Stegostoma tigrinum: one gene and its partners. The protein of the gene in region 3 interacts with the protein of the main gene of each other region in a biochemical or structural test. Links are inferred from orthologs where the notes say so. Each region holds a gene or a part of one and is shown on either strand. Other genes may lie near its edges. The genes, in order: bcl10, prkcq and card11.

The links.
Region 1: the proteins of card11 (region 3) and bcl10 form a complex in vitro, tested with the Homo sapiens proteins (2 studies listed by BioGRID, with this or other methods). The link is inferred for Stegostoma tigrinum from reciprocal best matches to the Homo sapiens genes CARD11 and BCL10.
Region 2: of the proteins of card11 (region 3) and prkcq, one has a biochemical effect on the other in vitro, tested with the Homo sapiens proteins (2 studies listed by BioGRID). The link is inferred for Stegostoma tigrinum from reciprocal best matches to the Homo sapiens genes CARD11 and PRKCQ.

The regions. Positions count from the first base shown.
Region 1 is NC_081361.1:99,959,398-99,967,128, reverse strand, and holds the start of bcl10 (B-cell lymphoma/leukemia 10), read left to right. Parts: upstream 1-4,654; 5' UTR 4,655-4,918; coding exon 4,919-4,969; intron 4,970-7,731. UniProt on the Homo sapiens protein: Plays a key role in both adaptive and innate immune signaling by bridging CARD domain-containing proteins to immune activation.
Region 2 is NC_081378.1:6,292,579-6,300,556, forward strand, and holds the start of prkcq (protein kinase C theta type), read right to left. Parts: upstream 3,006-7,978; coding exon 2,855-3,005; intron 1-2,854. UniProt on the Homo sapiens protein: Calcium-independent, phospholipid- and diacylglycerol (DAG)-dependent serine/threonine-protein kinase that mediates non-redundant functions in T-cell receptor (TCR) signaling, including T-cells activation, proliferation, differentiation and survival, by mediating activation of multiple transcription factors such as NF-kappa-B, JUN, NFATC1 and NFATC2.
Region 3 is NC_081376.1:13,754,912-13,761,871, forward strand, and holds the start of card11 (caspase recruitment domain-containing protein 11), read left to right. Parts: upstream 1-3,938; coding exon 3,939-4,069; intron 4,070-6,960. Other genes in the region: sdk1a (protein sidekick-1), read right to left, coding at 2,071-2,674. UniProt on the Homo sapiens protein: Adapter protein that plays a key role in adaptive immune response by transducing the activation of NF-kappa-B downstream of T-cell receptor (TCR) and B-cell receptor (BCR) engagement.

The DNA of each region.
Region 1 (7,731 bases), on a different chromosome or scaffold from region 3:
GGCTGGGCGTCTGCACTGGGGGTCCGTGCTGGGGGTCCCACCCTGAGGCTGGGCGTCTGCACTGGGAGTCTGCGCTGGGGGTCCCACCCTGAGGCTGGGCGTCTGCACTGGGGGTCCGTGCTGGGGGTTCCACCCTGAGGCTGGGGGTCCATACTGGATGCCCCACCCCCAGGCCGGGGGTCTGCGCTGGGGTTCCCACCCTGAGGCTGGGGGTCCACACTGAGGGCCCTACCCTGAGGCCAGGGTTCCGTGCTGGGCAGGAGAGTGAATGTTGAAGATCAGCAATGATCTTAATGGACATTGCAGCAGGCTCATGGACCAATTGGTCTTTGTTGTGCCTGAGCCTCAGGAACCTGGAGCAATAATATGATGATGTCACAGAAATGCAGATTGCCGAGCAGAAAGAGTGCAGTGTGGGCAGAGTTAGAACACACTAGAATGAGAGACAGTCTCGACAATATGTGGATATGAACACACTGATAAGATAAATTACTCCTTCCCTAGTGTAACCATAATATCAAACCCTGGTTATCCATGATTACCAAGTATGTGAATAATATTAATGTAAAATTAGTAGTGTTACTTCGAAGTTTAAGGCTGAAGACAGCACATGATTTTGTCTTCTCCTCAGCCAGCCTGACATGAATCCAACTCACAGTGTCGTCTCAAATTGGAAACTGAAAATTGAAAATGATCTTTATTGTCACATGAGTATAGTGAAAAGTTTACAAGTCACCATTTCGGGCACCACCTTATGTACAAAGATACCTAGGTATGGAATCTTTGGTACAAAGCAGAAAAATAAGGAAAACAAATTTAAAAAGTTAAACATTACAATCCTCCCTACTAAAAAAATGTCATGATGATAGATGGTGATAGGAACAGGATTCACTGCAGAGACGGCAGTGGAGTTAAAGAAATCGAACAGAGGTCATCTGGAGAAGGAGTGAATTGTTTTAGAGAAATCATCTATACATCTTTAAAACCACCTAGACACCAGAAAATCCATGGAGCTAAACAGCTGCGATAGAGTTTGGAAATATCTCTGAATAAAAAAACTCCTCCAGAGAAACCACAGGAATGTTGTGGGTCTCAAGAAGCATTTTACAATCAGTAATGGGGAAAACAAGCCAATACAAAATGGTGAGAATGGTAAAAGGCAATAAGCCATTAAGCAGATTCATGCAACCACTCACTAATACCGGCTGTTTACAGCACACCGAAACAGAATCGATCTCACAAAGGAATGGAGAAAACGTTATGTTTCCAACTTGACACCTAGACTTGGGAATATGGGGCAAAGATATTTTGTAGTGAATTAACAAACTTTTGAACTATTTGCTTGTCAAGAAAGTTATCAACAGCAAGATGAAATAATTCTTCAGGTAAAGGCTTAAAGAAAAAGTGATTGAAAAAGAAAATAGAAATCAGAGATAAGAATCATTATCACAGTTTGGATTATCAAAGTGGTAACAGTGAAATTATTGGTTTTAATTCAAGAGTGCAAACATGATCAAGTGGTATCAAAGTGAGCATGAAAATACCTTGGATACAGCAAAGATCAGCTTGAACCATGGCAAGGTAGCCATCTTGGACAGAGTCAAAAAATTCATTGCTTCTTGATGAGTGAAGCCATCTTGGGAAAGTTCTACCCACAGATCTTTTGGATATCCTATGGCAATCCTGGAAAAAGTACATCTTCATACCCATGCGGACGCCATATTGGTAAAGGCAAACGAGATATATTGAAACCAATATTTAGATCAATGGAAACTTCAACGGCTTTCAGTTTTACAACCTTTACAACATCAAACCGTCAACAACTTTAATCAACTAAGAAAGCTGCAAGAACACAAAATAATGTTCAAAGTCCAATATCCTTCTAAACCAAGAAATAATCAACAATTTCAAGTGTCTAGCAATAAAATTCACCAATTTTCTCATCAGAAAGACTTAAACTTTCAGACCCAGCTTAGTAAATTGGCGAGTGTGGAAAGCCCACTTCTGGATTGGACACTAAATCAAATGGGGAACAAATGGGAAGAACATCAGATCACGTGCTGCACTGACAACAGACTAGTGAATAAGCAAATTACACTTGACAACCCCGCAATAGCTTTTGATCGGTATTTCATTCCAAGAATAAATAAAATACTTCAACATCAGATATCAACTCCCAGGAGAGTCTGCAGATAGTTTCATGAATGACCTGGAAGCACAATCTGAACTATGCAGTTATGCAAAGTTATAACAAGGCCTCAATTGAGTTGAATTGTCCTTTGGCCTCTCAGACAAATTGGTAACTGATTTCTTTAGTCAAAAGATGGTGTGAATCTAGAACAAACAGTCTAAGTACCAGTGAGTAGTGAGTCCAGAAAATTGTTCAAGAATCATTAGGCAGCAACGGTTCCTTTTAATGGAAAACATTCCACAGATAGTGTTGACCACGAAAGCTACAATATCTGTCAGGTCACCTCTCCAACCTCCTATGCTCTAGTGAAAAAAATCCCAGCCTATCCAGTCTTTCTTTGTAACTGAAACCTTCCATACCCAGCAACATCCTGGCAAAGATGACAGGAACTGCAGATGCTGGAGAATCTGAGGTAACACGGTGTAGAGCTGGATGAACACAGCAGGCCAAGCAGCACCAGAGGAGCAGGAAGGCTGATGTTCCTGAACAAGGGTCTTGACCCAAAACGTCAGCTTTCCTGCTCTTCTGATGCTGCTTGGCCTGCCGTGTTCATCCAGCTTCACACCGTGTTATCTAGCATCCTGGCAAATCTCTTCTGAGCCCTCCCCAGCTTATTAGTACCCTTCCTGCAACTGGACAATCAGAAATGGACACAGTACTCCATGAGAGGCCTCACCACCATTTGTACAACCTCAACATGATGTCCCAACTCCTCTGCTCAAAAGTCTGAACAATGAAGGCAAGCCTGCTAAATGCTTTTTTAATCACCCTGTCTACTCTGACACAAGTTTCAAATCATTATGTGCCTGCACTTCTAGGTTCTTCTGTTCTACAACATTACATAAGTCCTATCATTAATTGTATAAGCCCTACTCTTGTTTGTTGTATTAAAATGCAACACATTGCATTTATCCAGATTGAATATACACCATTCCTCAGCCCATTGGCCCAGTTGATTGAGATCCCTTTGTAATCTTAGATAACGTTCTTCACTGTCTACTACACCACCAATCTTGGTGTTCTTCAAGATGGAAGTGGTCGTGGGTTCAGAAGGTGCTGTGGGAGGATCTTTGGTGAATTTCTGCAGTGCATCTTGTAGATAGTACACACTGCTGCTACTGAGGGTTGGAGGGAGTGGATGCTTGTGGATGTGGTTCGTCTTGAATAGTGTGAAGCTTCTTGAGTGTTGTTGAGGCTGCACCCATCCAGGCAAGTGGGGAGTATTCCATCACACTCCTGACTTACACCTTGCAGATGGTGGGCAGGCTTTGGGGAGTCAAGATTTGTGTTATTTGTTGCTAGATTTCTAGCGTCTGACCTGCTCTTGTAGCCACTGTGTTTATGTGGTGAGTCCTGTGGAGCTTCTGGTCTATGATTACACCCAGGATGCTGATAGTGGGGGATTCTGTGAGGGTAACACCCTTGAATGTCAAGGGGCAGTGGTTAGATTGTCTCTTATTAGTGATGAGTTAGTCTGGCATTTGTATGATGCAAATGTCACTTGCCACTTGTCAACACAAGTCTGGATATTGTCCAGATCTCATTGCGTTTGGACATGGACTGTTTCAGTATCTGATGAATCATGAATGGTGCTGAACATTGCGTCAGGTGTGACCCCAACCACCGGAGAGTTTGCCCCCTGATACCCACTGATTGCAGTTTTGCCAGGGCTCCTTGATGCCACACTTGGTCAAATGCAGCCTTGATGTCAGGGGCTGTCACTCTCACCTCACCTCTGGGATTCAGCTCTTTTATCCATGTTTGAGCCAAGGCTGTAATGGGGTCAGGAGCTGAGTGGCCCTGGCAGAACCCAAACTGAGTGTCACTGTGCAGGTTATTACTGAGTAGGTGCTGCTTGGTAGCTCTGTTACTGACACCTTCCATCACTTTACTGATGGTCGAGAGGAGACTGATGGGGTAGTAATTGGCCGGGTTGGATTTGTCCTGCTTTTTGTGTACAGGACATACTTGAGCAAGTTTCCACACTGTCAGGTAGATACCCGTGTTGTAGCTGTTCAGGGACAGCTTGGCCAGGGGAGCGGCAAGTTCTGGAGCACAAGTCTTCAGTATTATTGCCGGAATGTTGTCAGGGCCTGTAGCCTTTGCAGCATCCAGTGTCTCCAACCGTTTCTTGATACCACATGGAGTGAATCGAAGACGGGTTTCTGTAATGCTGGGGACCACTGGAGGAGAGGTAGTAAAATGCCAGCAGACTTGCCCAGGGATGATTAGATGGGCTGAATATCCACATATGAAACTTTTTAATGCAACTGTTCTTAATCGCAATCACTTAAAGGTCCAATTTTACAACAGGGCAGAAAAGGGAATTTTTTTTCAGCCAATGAGAGTGTTTTGGGCGAAAAGAGACGTTGCAGTAAAAGCTGGGGCTGGGTTATCCAGCCATAATGTGAAGGTACAGTGAACTTCCGCATAATAGCTAATTCCTCTCAGTCAGAGTTTCGCTAAACGTGCTTTACGTCAGTGTTAGCGGAGGGACGGAAGTTGTAATTGGTTAGACTTTACAACCTTCAGAGAGTGTGTGTCTGCTCAGAAGGAAAACCAGGAAGAAAGTGTACAGTCCAACAATGCAAACATGTAAAAGTTGCTGCACGTAACTCCGGCCCGGCTCCGTGATCCCCGGCATTGGCACTACCCAGGGGAAGCCCCCACCCCCCTCACACCCGGGCACAGAGAAACTGCAGGGCTCCCCTCCTGGCACCCACACCCATGGAGGCTGCGCAGCTCACCGAGGACGAAATGGCTGAAATAAAAAAGGAAGTAAGTTTGTTGCCGCTGTTTGAGCGAAATGTGAAAGGGGAACGGGTTTTCTTTTGCCCCAGTCTCTGGTGCTCACCTGCCCCCTTACAGGGCAGGACAAGTGAGTAGGTCTGAGGCTAGTGGGCACACTGGGGCACCGAGCTGCTCTGCCCAGGATGGAAGCTGTACCTTGGACACTGCAGTGTGGGTACACCTGGGCACTGAGGCCGGTGTAACTGGGGCACGGGTACACCTGGGCACTGAGGCCGGTGTAACTAGGGCGCGGGTACACCTGGGCACTGAGGTTGGTGTAACTGGGGAGCAGGTACACCTGGGCACTGAGGTTGGTGTAACTGGGGCATGGGTACACCTGGGCACTGAGACCGGTGTAACTGGGGAGCGGGTACACCTGGGCACTGAGGTCGGTGTAACTGGGGCATGGGTACACCTGGGCACTGAGGTTGGTGTAACTGGGGAGCGGGTACACCTGGGCACTGAAGTCGGTGTAACTGGGGCGCAGGTACGCCTGGGCACTGAAGTCGGTGTAACTGGGGAGCGGGTACACCTGGGCACTGAGGTCGGTGTAACTGGGGAGCGGGTACACCTGGGCACTGAGGTTGGTGTAACTGGGGAGCAGGTACACCTGGACACTGAGGTAGGTGTAACTGGGGAGCGGGTACACCTGGGCACTGAGGTCGGTGTAACTGGGGAGCGGGTACACCTGGGCACTGAGGTCGGTGTAACTGGGGAGCGGGTACACCTGGGCACTGAGGTCGGTGTAACTGGGGAGCGGGTACACCTGGGCACTGAGGTCGGTGTAACTGGGGAGCAGGTACACCTGGGCACTGAGGTTGGTGTAACTGGGGCATGGGTACACCTGGGCACTGAGGTTGGTGTAACTGGGGAGCAGGTACACCTGGGCACTGAGGTCGGTGTAACTGGGGAGCGGGTACACCTGGGCACTGAGGTCGGTGTAACTGGGGCGCGGGTACACCTGGGCACTGAGGTCGGTGTAACTGGGGAGCGGGTACACCTGGGCACTGAGGTCGGTGTAACTGGGGAGCAGGTACACCTGGGCACTGAGGTCGGTGTAACTGGGGCATGGGTACACCTGGGCACTGAGGTTGGTGTAACTGGGGAGCGGGTACACCTGGGCACTGAAGTCGGTGTAACTGGGGCGCAGGTACGCCTGGGCACTGAGGTCGGTGTAACTGGGGAGCGGGTACACCTGGGCACTGAGGTCGGTGTAACTGGGGAGCGGGTACACCTGGGCACTGAGGTCGGTGTAACTGGGGAGCAGGTACACCTGGGCACTGAGGTTGGTGTAACTGGGGCATGGGTACACCTGGGCACTGAGGTTGGTGTAACTGGGGAGCGGGTACGCCTGGGCACTGAAGTCGGTGTAACTGGGGCGCAGGTACGCCTGGGCACTGAAGTCGGTGTAACTGGGGAGCGGGTACACCTGGGCACTGAGGTCGGTGTAACTGGGGAGCAGGTACACCTGGGCACTGAGGTCGGTGTAACTGGGGAGCGGGTACACCTGGGCACTGAGGTCGGTGTAACTGGGGAGCGGGTACACCTGGGCACTGAGGTCGGTGTAACTGGGGAGCAGGTACACCTGGGCACTGAGGTCGGTGTAACTGGGGAGCAGGTACACCTGGGCACTGAGGGCGGTGTAACTGGGGAGCGGGTACACCTGGATATGTACACCTGGGCACTAATGCTGGTGCAACTAGAGCAGCGTGGATTGGCTCACCTCGGCACAGGTACACCTGGGCAGTGGGGAAAGGCCCAGCTGAGAACTGGGAGGTATCTGATACATGGACAATGCAAGGGTGTAGCTTTTGGGCTGAGAGAGACTCCACAATGTGACTGAACTCAGTGTCACCTTTCTCTGATCAATGTTACGAAAGGTCTAATTGCTGACACTAAGTTCCTTCTGCACTGGGGTTTCAGCTTTATTTTATTTTGCAGTAATGTTTCTTGGAAACAGTTTTTTTTGGAAGTGTCACATGATGTTCAGCAGCGTCAGATCTTTTAGCTCTTGAATTAAACTAGCCTGGGTGTCTGTGGGTTAGAGGCACATTGACACTGTATGCAGAAATTGGAGTTAACACTGGCTGTGAAAGACCCCTCCCTGCAAGATGATAATCGAGAAGAGAACTTTAAAATCGAGAATGTATTTTAAAATTATGCATGCCATTTGCAAATAGAAAATTTGACATTTTTAACTGTGTTGTGTTTAATTTTTATTCTCTTCTTCTAATGCTGACCTTGGAGAAACATTTTCTTCGTATGTAAAGTTCTCTCTTTGTTTTCCTGTCTGTCCATGTCCTTGTTTCTTGTTTGTATCTTGTAATCCTTTGCAGTTTGACAATCCTCACTGCAAAGCTGCTGTTTTAATTGCTTCACCATTGCTGCCTTATGCTGCTGAGGCCCTGAACTCCAGAATTCCCTCCACAAAACCCTCTCTTTTTCTCTCGCTCTCTCTTCTACCTGCTTCGAATCTTTAAAACTGATCTCTTTTGAACAAACTTTAATTTGCTTGACCTAACATCTCATGCAGCACTGTCAGAATTTGATAATTATTTGTATAGAAACATAGAAAATAGGAGCAAGATTAGATCTTTTGGCCCTTTGACCCTGCTCCACCATTCGATACAATCACAATGGATTGTAGAATAGAATTGAATATTCTTTTATTGTCACGTGTACGCCAGTACGGGAGTACAGTGAAAAGTATTTGCAATGGCTGCCTTTAAGGGCACCATCTTAGGTATAAA
Region 2 (7,978 bases), on a different chromosome or scaffold from region 3:
TACTTTCTGATCTACCTGTATGCCGTCAGCAAATTTAGCACTCATTCCTGTGGCATACTATTTCCAAAACCAAAAACAACCCATTTATGTTTAAAATCTTTGAGATAGTAAGAACTGCCGATGCTGGAATCAGAGATAGCACAGACCCGAAACATCAGCTTTCCTGCTCCCCTGATGCTGCCTGGCTTGCTGTGTTCCTCTAGCTCCACATTGTGTTATCTATGTTTAATTTATTGAGAACATGGCGCTTCCTTAAGGAACTCCAGTAAATTGGTTAAATATGATTTGCCTTTCACAAAATGTTGACTCTAAAATCATATTCAATCAGCCTGATTATCTTAAACATTTCTAATTTTCTAAGAACTCTGCTGAACATTTTTCATAACAGCTTCTAATATCTTCCTTATGTCAGATGTCGAGCCCACCGTTTTCTTCATTCTGAATCCCTTTTTGAATAAAGGAGTTGTATTCACTATACTGCATGCTTACATTCATTGCTTTTCAATCTAAAGGAATATTCCCCCAATCCAGGAAAATTAAAACCAATGCAACAACTATTTCACAGGTCATTTCTTTTAAGACATAGAACGAAGTCCATCAGGACCCAGGGATTTGTAAGTCCATAGTTACAACATTACCCTTTCTCCCATTTCCTGGCATACAGCTGTTTCTGAGATATTACTTGTGTCTTGTACAGTGAAGACTGACATAAATATTAGTTTGATTAATCTGCTATAAATCTATTTGTCATTATTTATTAAGCAGAATATTCAGGCCCTTGCTAAAGCTGAGTTTGCACCTGTGCCCATTGTGATTTCAGGGTTTATATACTGACCTCAAATCTAAACATTCAATAAAACTTCCCTGGGAGAAATTATTCAGCCATCTTCAGTTAATATGTTACAGAATGAAACATTTACAAATGTGAAACCAAAAACTTCTCAGGTTTTTCAATCTCTGAAGATGATTCAGGACTCCTGCCAGAGAACCATAACCTGAAATTGCTGTAGAAACTCAGCAGGTCTTAGCAAGTGGGAAGAAAACAGAGTTAACATTTTGAGCCCAGCAATTCTTCATCAGACTCAAAACATTAATTCTGATTTCTTCCCACAGATGCTGCCAGACCTGCTGAGTTTCTACAGTTAATTTCTCCTTTTGTTTCAGATCTCCAGCATTTGCAGTTCTTCACTTTATTTTATCCCCAGCAGTGAAGATAGGTACAAATGTTTCAGGCAGTTTGTGGTTGTGGGGACACTTCTACTCAATGTGCTAAACTGGGAGCGAGCTCATACAAATGTTCCGTAAGATTTGAACACATTTACAGCCCAAGGATCATGAAGCGGGGATACTTTAATCTACTGGCATCAAAGCATTGCAAACAGGAAGGGAAATGAAGGGTGAACACTGAGCTATTTATGCCACATGCATGGAATGACTATTGTGGCGACACTGGGCTGAGGAATGTCTTTAAGTGGTCTGCCTCCCCTATCATCCCTCTCTGTGCCAAACACAACCTGTCTTTCTATCACAAGTCTGCTCTAGCTGCCCTCCCTCACCACCACCCCTTTCTGCTGGAGGTCCCGTTACACAAAAATAATTCAATTCAAGAGTTCCCACAACATATCCCATCTGATACTCTGTCCTTCATACTCAAAATTTAATAAAACAAAACAGAAGTTGCTGGGAAAGCTCAGCAGGTCTGGCAGCATCAGTGAAGGAAAAAATAGAGGTCATGTTTCGGAGTTCTGAGGAAGGGTCAACGGATCCAAAACATGAACTTCACTGATGCTGCCAGACCTGTTGAGCTTTTCAGGCAACTTCTGTTTTGTTTCCTGATTTACAGCATCTGCAGTTCTTTCATTTTTCAGTTTTATGTTGTTTTCTTTGATTGAAAAACAAGCGACCAAAAACTTTATTAAACTCATTTATTATAACTTATTATAACACTTATTATAACTCAGTTCTGAGGAAGGGTCATCGGACCTGAAACATGAACTCTGTTTTTTTCCTTCACGTAAAACTGAGTGAGGCAGTCAGCGGTATTCCTACTGAGAGTGAAGAAATGTCAGAACTCATTAGCTGTCAACATTACCAGATGCAAATTGTTCTGTATGGCACTAGTAAGAAGTACATCAGTGTAAAATCCTTTTGTGTGTTGCTGTAATGAAAGTATTAATTCATTGAAAGCAAGATCAAGGCCTTTGTCAGAATATTACACCTTTTTCACCATGTAGCTCTGCTGTAGTCATTTATAAATGTGCAAAGCAATTTATTTTCTGAATTGATACAGTTTGTAACATCATTCGGGTTGCAAATTCATTTCAAACTAACAGCAATGTGAGATCACCTACAAGAGCTGAATTCAGCTCTTATTATTTGGAACACGGCTTTCAGTTTTACACAGGCTACAGTATAACCACTGCTATTGAGGAAGCCAGTTTGAAAAGGTGGTGTGAGGCACATTCAAAGCCAATTTCTGTTATCTGTGGACCTCTGTATATGTTAGAGACACACATAGGTGTCGACTCACACTTCCTCTGAGTAGGAATGCTATGTGGAGCTGGGAGAACAGCTCAGGTCTGCAATTCTTTGAGCAGAGACCATCCTGAAATTGGCATTGTTATGCAAACAACTGCCTTAGATAAACATTGCTGTGTGAAACCCTGCCACACGCAGCAGCTTCTGCAAATAATCCAGGATGCCAGACAAGTGAGATTGTAACACATTGCTAACTGCATTATTCGCTTGTAGTAATTGGTGGGTTATCATATAAACACACAACTTAAGTTTAATGTAACATTCAGAAAGGTGAAAGCACAATATCAGCGGATGATTTGATAAGTCACGGCTTTACCTGTGTCTACTGGTTCTTTCACAATGACAGCGCAGTAAGGGTTCTGGACATCCTCGGCTTGTGGGCACAGACCGATGTCAAAGTTGGAGAAGCCAATCCGAAGGAAAGGAGCCATTTCGGAAATCTTGACAGTCAGACCTTGGTATAACATCATGAACAATTGGAGTTAGGCTAAGGAACAACCAAATCATCAAGCCTCATAGGCGACAAAGAGAGGGTCTGACAGGAACCAATAGCTCATCGGAACCAACTGCTAACTTACTTCCTTCTCTGTGAGGACAAGTGAGATAAAAAAAGAAGCTGGGCCAAGCAGTCTCATGTGTCACAAGGGAGGAGGAGTCATGCCATAAACTGGAGAGCACCCAGAGAGAAGGAAGTGGGGTTCGCTTCACCCTCCCACTGAATGTCACAGCATCCAGGACAGTCATATTTCAGAAATGGGATAGTTTCAACCATAGAAACTTAACTCAGAAAGGTTTATACCCTCCCCCAGCATTTAGAGCAACACAAAGAGAATCGGAAAAAAATATATAGTTTAGGATTTTAGACCTGGCCATGTTAAGATGACTGAACAAGAACGGAAGCTGCTGGAAAAGCTCAGCAGGTCAGGCAACAACTGTGAAGGAAAAAACAGAGTTAACTTTTCAGGTCCGGGGACAGTTCTGAGGAAGGGTCACCGGACCCGAAACATTAACTCTGTTTTTTCCTTCACAGATGCTGCCAGGCCTGCTGAGCTTTTCCAGCAACTTTGCTTTTGTTCCTGATTGACAGCGTCCGCAGTTCTTGTGGTTTTTATTTAAGGTGACTGATCCCTTTCACGATTTCACTTTTTTTTTGAAAGTATTGTCTGGTGTTGGGTGGGAGAGGGGTGCGTGAGGTGTCAGGGGTGTGGGAAATTGGCAAAAGAAAATGCTCAAGACAAATTCATTAATGTGGTGCTTAATATTCTTGCCTGCCTGTTCACACAGGGTAATTTTACCCAGTATTTTATCAAAAGTATTAGCCACTAAGAAAAGTCAGATCCCTGTTGAAAGAGTGCATGGATGAATTTCAAGCACATCATTATGTTTGTTAAACACAGTGGAATCTCAGTCCTTCAGATACTCAGAGCGAAAGTGAATTTTGCTTCAGTCAGGAGTCATTTTCTCACCTTTGCTGCTCATCCTGCGATGGATCGCACTCAGTTCTGAACATTTAATTGACCCAGTCTCTTGCGAAATAACCTGGGACTTCATGAGGCCAATGGAGTGGAGTGATTTGCCAATCCATCATGAATCAGAATGTTTTGAAGAGATTAACCTTAAAGCAGCAGGGTCTTATGGCTGTTTTGTAGGAGATAACTCTGGAGTTTATGAGGTCAGTGTGTGGTTCTCTTTTTGGAACCTGACCACTACCAGGCATGAGGTGATCAGCTGGGCAGCATAGACAGGACTGGAGCATCTAGTTAAATCCTAATGCCTCAGACACAAGTGGAGGCCTTCCATACCGAAATTGGACCGGTTTTTAAAAGGTTACAATGATAACAGCAGGATGCACAAACCTGGTTTGTACTTATTTAAGTTAAGGATCAGGAATGATCTGACTGAGGTGTTTAAAGTGCTAAAGGAATCTTGCTTGGGGAGCTATCAAGTGCTGAATCTACCTGGGCCAGGACAGGCTGGAGGGAATAAAGGTCCCTTTGTAATTACAGTATAGCCGTGTTCCAAATAATAAAGGACTGCTGCCCAGCAATCATTTTCTGAGGGCCTGTGCATGTAAGGATGGAAACTACTTAAAAACAAACTTCCACATTAGTAGCAATAGTGCATCAGATAAAACTGTTACAGCTATCTGCACTATTTCACCATATGCATCAAGTACAAAGTACATTTACAGACTAGCCACAGCAACCGCATAGTCAAAAAAATTTCCTTTAGCCTCCCGACAGCAGACGGCAGAGTCAGACTGGTGGTCGAGCTTTCTTGGGTCTCAGTCTCATTGCAGTCTACGGTTGTTTTAATTCATTCATGGAATATGGGCGTCGCTGTGTAGGCCAGTGTTTATTGCCCCATCCCTATTTGCCCAGGGGGCAGTTAAGAGTCACCACATTGCTGTGGGTCTGCAGTCACATGTAGGCCAGACCAGGTAAGGATGGCAGAATTCCTTCCCTGAATGACATTAATAAGCCAGGTGGGTTTTTCGTGACAATTCGTAGTCATCATTAGACTCTGAATTGCGGTTTCTTTATTGAATTACAAATTTCGCCATTTGTCATGTTAGGATTTGAACCCAGTTCCGCAGAAATTTGGCTGCATTTCTAGATTAACAGTCTAGCATTAGTACCACAAGGCCATTATCTTTCCTAAGGTGGTGTATGATACATTCACGCTGCTATGAAAGGAGAGTGTTCCAGGATATTGATTCAAGAACAGTAAGGGAGACATGATTCTGGTCGAAATCTTTGGGGAGATTGATCCCTGTCAGGTTGCTACTTTGTTACTCTATCTGTAGACTCACATTGCTGGGCCTGGGTTCTGAAAACAGATACTCCAGAAATGGGAAGCATAGCTTTAATCTGGCTGGATCCATATAGTTAGCGAGTTTTGAGAAGATTTGTAGTTCAGGTTGAGGTTCTGGATGTGAGTTTGCTCGCTGAGCTGGAAGGTTAGTTTTCAGACGTTTCGTCACCATTCTAGGTAAGATCATCAGTGAGCCTCCGACGAAGCGCTGGTGTTATGTCCTGCTTTCTATTTATCTGGTTAGGTTTCCTTGGGTTGGTGATGTCATTTCCTGCGTTGGTGATGTCACTTCCTGTTCTTTTTCCCAGGGCATGGTAGATTGGCTCCAAATCAATGTGTTTGTTGATGGAGTTCCGGTTGGAATGCCATGCTTCTAGGAATTCTCGTGCGTGTCTCTGTTTGGCTTGTCCTAGGATGGATGTGTTGTCCCAATCAAAGTGGTGTCCTTCCTCATCTGTACCCACTATCACTCGTATCCTTACATACAGATGAGGAAGGACACCACTTTGATTGGGACAACACATCCATCCTAGGATAGGCCAAACAGAGACACGCACGAGAATTCCTAGAAGCATGGCATGCCAACCGGAACTCCATCAACAAACACATTGGCTCCAAATCAATCTACCATCCCCATAAAAAAAAGAACAGGAAGTGACATCACCAATGCAGGAAATGACATCATCAACCCAAGGAAACCTAACCAGATAAATAGAAAGCGGGACATAACACCAGCGCTTCGCCAGAGGCTCACTGATGATGTTACCTAGAATGGTGACGAAACATCTGAAAACGAACCTTCCAGCTCAGCGAGCAAACTCACATCCAGGATCCTTATAGTGTAGCACCATCATGGGAAGGGAAGCCACACCCCTTTTTAGAACGTCAACTATTGTGTGACTAAAGTGAAACATTTTGATGTCCAAATCCTCATCGAAAAGCTTTGGATAGTGGGCAGGTGTGAAAGGTGAGTGGATGATGTAGGTAAGCAGGCAGCGGGAGAAGGGTAGGTGGCAGAGGAGTGGTGAGGGGATTGGGAGTTGGCTGAGCGGTGTGGTGGTAGGGAGGCAGCGGGAGAAGGGTAGGTGGCAGAGGAGTGGTGAGGGGATTGGGAGTTGGCTGAGCGGTGTGGTGGTAGGGAGGCAGCGGGAGAAGGGTAGGTGGCAGAGGAGTGGTGAGGGGATTGGGAGTTGGCTGAGCGGTGTGGTGGTAGGGAGGCAGCGGGAGAAGGGTAGGTGGCGGGGGGTGGTGATGGGATTGGGAGTTGGGAGAGTGGTGTGGTGGTAGGGAGGCAGCAGGAGAAGGGGGAAGTGGTGAGGGGAATGGAAGGCAGTGGGCAGGTGAATGATGAGGGGATAGGGAAGGGTACATTGGAAGGTAAATGAGTTAGAGGTCAGCACGTTATTTATGGATGTCGGGTAGTGTTGGGGGTGTCAGAGGTTTCGGGCAGAGGCAGGTGGCAAGGTTGGCAGTTTAGAAGAGTCAGGTTGGGGGCGTTGAGGGGCTTGGGTTGGCAGGGCGTCCCAGCCCTGTATTTCATCCTTGAAGCCATTCTTATCAATCTCTTCTGTGCTCTCTCTCGCCTTTGGTTGGGTCACAGCTGGAGCACGGTGTGCATTTCTGGTCACCACACGATAGATTCACCAGAGTGGAGCAATTTACCTCTGAAGAGAGGCTAGATAAGCTCGAGTTGTTTCCTTTGTAGCAAAGAAGGTTAAGAGGGGGCCAGAGTTTAAGATTATGGGAGGGGGGTGTGGTTTGGGGGCATTGGCATGGTTGGATAGGAAACAGCTATTACTCTTAGTTGAAGAGTCAATAATAAGGAGGCATAATGTTAGGCTAGAGGCTAAAGGTTGGAGATTGAGAGGGGATTTCAAGAAAAATATTTTCACCCAGAGGATGTTGAGGGTGTGGAATGCAATGCCTCAGAGGGTACTTCAGGTGTGAAATGTCAGAACCTTTAATAAGTACTTGGATGAGCACTTGGAATGCTAGTACATGGAAGTTCTGGGAAGTGGGACTAAGTGTAGAGTTACAGAAGATTTTTGTCATTGCAGACTCAATGTGCTGAAGGGCCTCTTCTGTACTGTATAGTTCTATGTTTGCAGTTCTCCAGTCCACCAGCAATCTCAGTTTAAGGAATTCTGTTTTGACCAGTACCTCTGGAATTTCACTCTCACTTCCTTCAAAAATCTCAGATACATTTCATCCAGTCCTTGTCCCTGGTCAACTTTAAGTACAAACAATGAACATGAGTAGGCCACTCAGCCCCTCGAGTCTGCTGCCCATTCAAAAGGATCATGACACATCTGATTTGAACCTCAACTTTTCGTCTCTGCGTACCACCAATAATCTTTCAACCCTTGGTCATCAAGAAAAGATCTATCACTGCCTTAAAAATACTTAAAGGTTCTGCATCTACTGTGCTTTGAGGAAGGGAATTCATGAAACTTGTAAACTTCTGAGGGAAATTTTTTTTCCCTTTATCCCTATTTTAAGTGGGTGCCCCTTATTGTTAAACAATAACTCCTGGTTCTAGATTTTTCCACAAGAGGAAACATCCTTTTGACAGCTATTAGTCAAGGATTTTGTGTGTTTCAGTTCAGTCACCTCAGACAGCCTGTCA
Region 3 (6,960 bases):
TTTATGTTTATATTCTTAAAAACGTGCACACTTCAATATTCATATACATTTGACAGAAAACTACCTTTTACAAATTCATACTTCCCAACTACATCTGTCCCTATAATTATTTTAGTGCTCTAATTTCCACGTAAAAAGACTAACAGACTTATGATTTTGTAATTGATCTCTGTTAATGTCAAATAGTAGACTGACAATGGGAAGTATTCCAAAAGTGCACACAAATCGCTGAAGAAAGAGGTTGGTAAAAAAATGGCATTGACTTGATGGGCTTAACAGCTAAACATTTGCTGTAATATCCTCTCATTCTTGACATAAGGTAACAAAAGTGTTCAGATTACTAAAGAACATCTTTTTGTTTAAAATCCAAGATGGCACGTGACTAATCTCATTCCCACTGGGGATTTACAATCAAAAAATAATTACCACAAAATACAACCTGAAGTTCCAACTACACTGTACTTTGAATGAAGTACAACTGAAAAACTTATATTTTTTCCCATAATCAATTTTCCTTTAATAGCAACAGGACAAATGGTTTGAGCCTTCAGCTTAATGATGCCATTCCCAATTTAGAATTATAAAGTACACAGTGTTTCAGCACAGAGATATAATCCCAGCAAGTGGGACATTGAAGCTCCAACTCACAACTCCACAATGACATCCAGTGGGATCTTCATGTCTGGCAGGTGTGGGTATCCTGCCTCTGTGCAGTCTACGGCAGCTTATAAAACCGTTTTGTCCCATAGGACTAACCACTTATCAGCTGATACACATTGGAAAAAACGGTTACTGCTGTGAAGGAAACCATAATGTCATGAGTCAGATGCTACTCAGTTTATGAATCCTTTCACTACTTTAAACTATTCTGCAAGGGAAATGTGGAGAATAAATTTCAAAACAAAAATCAATTATAAAATAGGTGTATGAAACAACAGATATTGATGCTACTCAAACGAAATTAGATTAAGACAGCTAATTCAATCTTAATAGAAGTCAGTTTTTAAAAAGTTTAAACATAGGGACAGGAGTGCAACATAAAAGCCCTTTATTTGGAATGAATACAAGTTTTTACATTGGGATACTAATCCAATTGAGATCGCTGGCACCAGAACAAACGCGGCACTGTTTATGATGTATGACGGCGCATCGCTCAAGCAAAGAACTTCGGCATCCCACCATAAAGAGAGCAAATATCAGTTCATTCATTGGGTAAAACAATCGCGTTTCAAATACTTACTCGAACGCACGGACAATGGTACAGAAAGTGTTGTTTGCATTATCTTGTCTGTTAGCTAAATCAGAGTTTGCTTATATGCTGAATAAAGTAAGCTTGTTTCAATTAACAAATAATCCATAATGCAATATGGAAAGCGAGAGCAAAAACAAAGTCGCCAGAAAGCTTCAGGGGTCCGAGAAAAGGTCAACGGACCCGAAACCTTAACTGATTTTTTTTCCTTCACAGATGCTGCCAGACCTGCTGAACTTTACCAGCAACTTTGTTTTTGTTCCTGATTTACAGCATCCGCAGTGGTTTCGTGTTTTTTTTTAAAAAAGAGAGTAAGGGATTACCTCGGGTTGAGAAAGTAGTACGTACATTAGGCTTCTACTTCGCGTTGCAATTCTGTGATGGAAAATGAAACTGGCACAAGTGCTTATTTACACTGCCCAATAGAAGTGCAACTCTTTGGTTTGTTCCCACGGCAAAAAAAATAAAAAGCAAAACGCACGCTGTCTCATTAATTGACTCACCATCGGATAATTGTTCCTTAATACTACAAAGTCAGCTTGGAAAGTAAAGCTATGAGAGCTGATAGCAGACAATATTCAAATGTAACCCTTTGCGTACCGTACAGCTTGCAAAATACCATTTGATTAACAAGCATGTTGCAAAGAAACCATACGACAGTTGAAAAATATGGTAGCGTTTGTGTCCGCACTTAAAGCACAACACAAATGTTGGACTTTAATCTCTCCTTCACATCACTTGGAAGATTTGCATAAGCAAAAACATAATTTGTTCCCACTTTGAAGGTGTTTCGACTCCTGTAATGTAGAACTTAATCTTACCTTGAGCCAGGGTCTGTAGCACGTGGATATAAAAGAGAGCTAACATCCACATTCGCCCAAAACATCCAAACAAATTAAAGTTTCCTCTCGCACTAACAAATCCAGCTGTTCTTCGGAATACTCCCGATTTCGGTCCCCTAATCAATACATTAATTTCATCACTTCGGTTTTCAATCTGGTTATCGAAAACACCTTTCAAACAAGGCCGTTGCTTCATCGCCCTTTGGTTATTGATTGAGTAGTCCGTATTCCCGATTTCTTTGGCAATTTCGATCAACTGATTATGGTGGGCATTCGAACGCTGGATCGATCTCTGCTTAGTGAGTCCGCTTGGGTAAAGGCTCCCGATCGGTCCCTGCAAGGCTTTCCTTTGGCATCGATCTTTCGGATGATTGATTACAGATGTCGCTGGGTTTACAATTAGTTCATGGCTAGTAGCCCCAGAGTGCGGTCTTTTCCTGCTGCTAGAATTACTGATCAACGTTTGCGGGCCCTTGCTGCTAGCCCCTCGAGTACAGATCACCTCTGGATACGCATCAACATCAATGAGTAACACAGCGATGACCTGAGCATCGACCAGCCCAAAACTCGCGTCTCCCATCATCTGTTGATCGCCTCGATTAGTGCAATCAGGTCGCTCCCTAACAATCGATACGCTTTGGTATATTTTCAATGAAATATATTAGACTGAATGAAGGTCTCCTCCAAGCCGCTGGTTAAATTGTGTTATTTTGGCTGGTTGCCCTAGAGAGGAGATCGGGTTTGGTTCAATCTTTCGCAGCCTGCTAATGATCGCCGCTTTCCTTGTAGAGGGTTTGGATCGGTCCCTCTTCCCAAAGCCCGGATTTCCTCAGCGGGAACAGCGTCACTCCGTTCCGACAAGCTGCCTTCACCCCTGGGATGAGAAAGCAGAGGTGTAAATAAAGGGAAGCGTTTTCTTCCCAATCCTCGTTTTCCTTATTTTTTAATTTCGTCTGTTACTTTCCAATGTACACCGAGGAGGCACCAAACAGCAATGATCTCAACTTCCAGCCAGCCGCCTGCAATACCTGGTTGATAATTAACTCCAACGCTTTTTTTAAAAAGAGCAAATGATTATCACTTGAATGGTTGTTTGGTTTTATCACCTAAGTGGAGACGGGATAAAATTCCCAAACCTGAAAATGATGAGTCTGTGAAAGTTTCAACTCATAACTGAAACAGCTTTCAAACTTTACTTGAACAAATTACATGCATTCTCCAATTGGATGAACTGCGCTTGGCAAAGTTTGAACTTATATCTGACAGCGGCGCGAGACCAGGGGCGTTCGCCACACACACACACACACACACACTGATTTAGAGTTACATTAGTACGCCTAATATGTTTTATAAAAAAAAACATAATCTTCAACAACTTTGAACCCTGCAAGAGACCTGAAATTAAATTCTGAGGTGAACGCCCCTCGTCCGATGACTTTCCAACAGATTTCCCTCTTGCTTTGAACTACCTTGTAACGGCAGTTTGCGATTTCCTTCTTCCCCGCCGCCTTTTCCTGTCGACGGACCGCACTCTTTCGGCTCGAGCTGAAGCTCGAGCGCGCCTCTGATTGGTCAACGCCAGCAACCACAACCTGCGATCTGATTCGTCAACATTCCACCAGGAGAAAATCTCTTCCGGCTGATTGGCCGAATTCTGCACCACCGCTCGCTGATTCGCTGATATCTGGACAGGGTTCTCAGTTCCGATTGGATGGAATGCGATCGCTGCTGTGATTGATCAATTCGTTGATAGGTGCTGGCTTTCCATTGGTAATGAAACAGGCGACCATCTGTCTCCGGTCACTGGTCTCTTCACTGGAGCCCTGACCAACCAATAGGAGGACGAAATGAGAGGGGCTATTGATTGGTTCCAAAGAAGAAATTTCCAAGACAGAAAATTGGGTTTGCACAGCTTCTTGTCTTTAATGGTCAAGTTCTTCATTGAATCCTTAAATAAAACAAAGAACTGCAAATGCAGGTAATCTGAAAAAATTGTAGAATTTACTGGCGAATCTTAGCAGGTCTGGCAGCATCTGCGTGGAGAAAGCGGACTTAACGTTTCCACTACAGGTGACTTTATCAGAGTACCTTCAGTCGTTTTCGAGAGCGGGATTTCTCGTTAATCCATCACTATGCCGTGTTTTGTTTGAATGAAATTGTTCTTAGCAGAGCCAACCTATTTTCGACGATTCAGACCTACCTTACCATCCACCCTGCGTCGATGTCACTTCTCTATCATTTGTGCTTCCTTGGCGTTTTGCTATGTGTACCGACACAAGAAGTGACTGGGGAGTCCAGAACCAGCAGTCACAATCTTAAGGATACAAAATAGGCAATTTAGAACTGAGTAAAAACCGAAAGAACAAAATTGCTGGAGAGGTTCAGCAGATCTGGCAGCATCAGTGAAGGAAAAAGACAGAGTTACCGTTTCAGGTCCAGTGAACCTTCTTCAGAATCTTCCAATTTATGACTCAGATCAGGAGATGTTTCTTCGTCCAGATAGTGATGACCATGTGGAATTCTCTGCCACAGAAAGCAGTAGAGCCCAAAGCATTGAATGTTTTCACAAATAAGTTACTTAGTTAATTAGAACTTTAAAAAATTGAAGGGAAAGAGAGAAAGCAAGATGAATTAAGAACAGGGTACTGACTTGGATAATCAGCCATGATTATACTGAAAACTGGGCAGACTGAAAGGACCAAATAGCAAACTCCTGCTCCGATCTGCTATTTTCAATTAATCCATTTTGTAGCAACAAAGGGAAAACTGCTGGTCATTGTTAGACCACAGTGCATCCCATCTTCCAACAGATTCTTCATGCTTGCCCTGCCCTGTCCTCAAAATGTAAGTTCATCACTATCTCCAAGAGAAATCAATGAGATCTTTCTTATAGACAATACCACAAAACCCCAACACCCAGTTCATTCCCTTTCCAGGCCATGACCGTTTCCTTTTCGGGTGAACCATTTACCCAAAGCACTAGGTTAATCGTGCACAGATGTTCTTCAGTTTTACTGCCAATCAATTCCCTGAAAACCATGATGGGAACCCTCAATGCACTACAGCACTATGATTGCTTACAACGTAATTTACCAACAGAAAAACCATCACAGACTAAGCAGAAAAGTCAGCTAAAACAATTAGAATTCAACGCTCAGGTGTAATGATTCGCCCATCAAGACAATTAATTAGACAACTAAATATCTCTAATATTGTTGCCCAAATTAACACCTTTGATAAATTCTTCTGGACATCAATATTTTTTGAATGGAGACAGTAGGAACTGCTGATGCCGGAGAATCTGATACAACAAGGTGTAGAGCTAGATGAACACAGCAGGGGAAGCAGCATCAGAGGAGCAGGAAAGCTAACGTTTCAGGCCTAGACCCTAAAGGTCAGCTTTCCTGCACCTCTGATGCTGCTTCGCCTTCTGTGTTCATCCAGCTCTACACCTTGTTATATATATTTTTTGAAAGATTTTTTTTTTACTAGCTCTTAAAATAACTACTAACTTACTTTGGGTTTACATGGCTTAATTAGAATTTTACATTTTTGATACCATATTTAATATCTTCATTGTGTTCCCCAGACAGAGAGATTTTCTTTTCAAACTGTAAAGCTAAACTTCCCTAATCTTTCTTCAAAGCTCATTCTCTTTGCACTCGAATTGAAATATGACTGTTCTCCATACACAGCCTAATGCAATCTTTAGGGGCAGCCCTTTTCCCTTTTAGCAGTTACTGAACTTCAGGTAGATAATCAGCTTTGATCATGTTGAAAGATGAAGCAGACCTGGAAGGCAAGATGGCTGACACATTCTATTTTTTATGTTCTTCTGGCTGCTTATAAAAAAGCAGTGGATTTCCTGATTTTTCTCATGTGCACCGTAAGTTAAGTGGCTAAGAATAAAAGATTATCATGTTTTTGCAGCAATAATTACAAGCGGGATTTGTAGCATTCCAACAGTATCTCATTGACTCAAACTTGCACATATTACACACTGGACTTCATTTTCTTCAAAACGAATGTTTATTTTTAAATTTAAAAGTGAAACCTCAATAGTTGATACTAAAATGAAAAGGCAGCAATTAAAAATACACAAACATCTAGAATGTGCAGCAACAAGGACAGTCAGCTTTCCAATTTCACTTGTGTCCAAAATTACAATCTTCACAATAAGGTTAACTTTCTAGCCCAAGTGGCTGTTTAGGTGGTGATTATTTCATTAAGGATTTTTGTTCTAAAAAAGCAAATGCTGCCCGGAATACTGTAAAGAGAAATTCTTACAATCTTCCAGAGGCTCTACGGTGCTCCTCGGCAGCAAATGCTTCCAACTCAGAAAGTCAAGTTTACTTTTTGGACAGTTAACTTATCTGAACAACAATGTTCACTTCACAGGTGCCTAAAATATCAAGGGTTAAAATGCAATTTTTCCAAATTGCCATCAATAGCTAGTGTGAGTCTTAATTGAAAGATGTTCCTGTTTTGCAAAGTCTAAATAATTTCTTTCCACTTTTGTTTTGAATTATTGAAAAGATTCACCTGAACCTGGGCTTCAAAAATTGTAAATCTACCAAGTTTTTTGTGCATTTGTCACACTATCATTGTTGCAGCATCGAATACAGTATTCTAAGTCTAAAGAATGTATTGTAAAATCTCAGCATAGTTCTGGAAATGTAATTCTCTCACCTTTAAATTACTTCATTGCATTACCTAAATGTTGAAAATGATATTTTTACTATTATTCCCAAGCTCCCTCCTAGTCCATCCTTCTTCTAATTCAGTTCCATTCACTGTATATGTGTCTGAGATTATTTTGATGCACATTTAGCAACCTGAATTTCACCAGTGATATGTCTGCATAGTCAA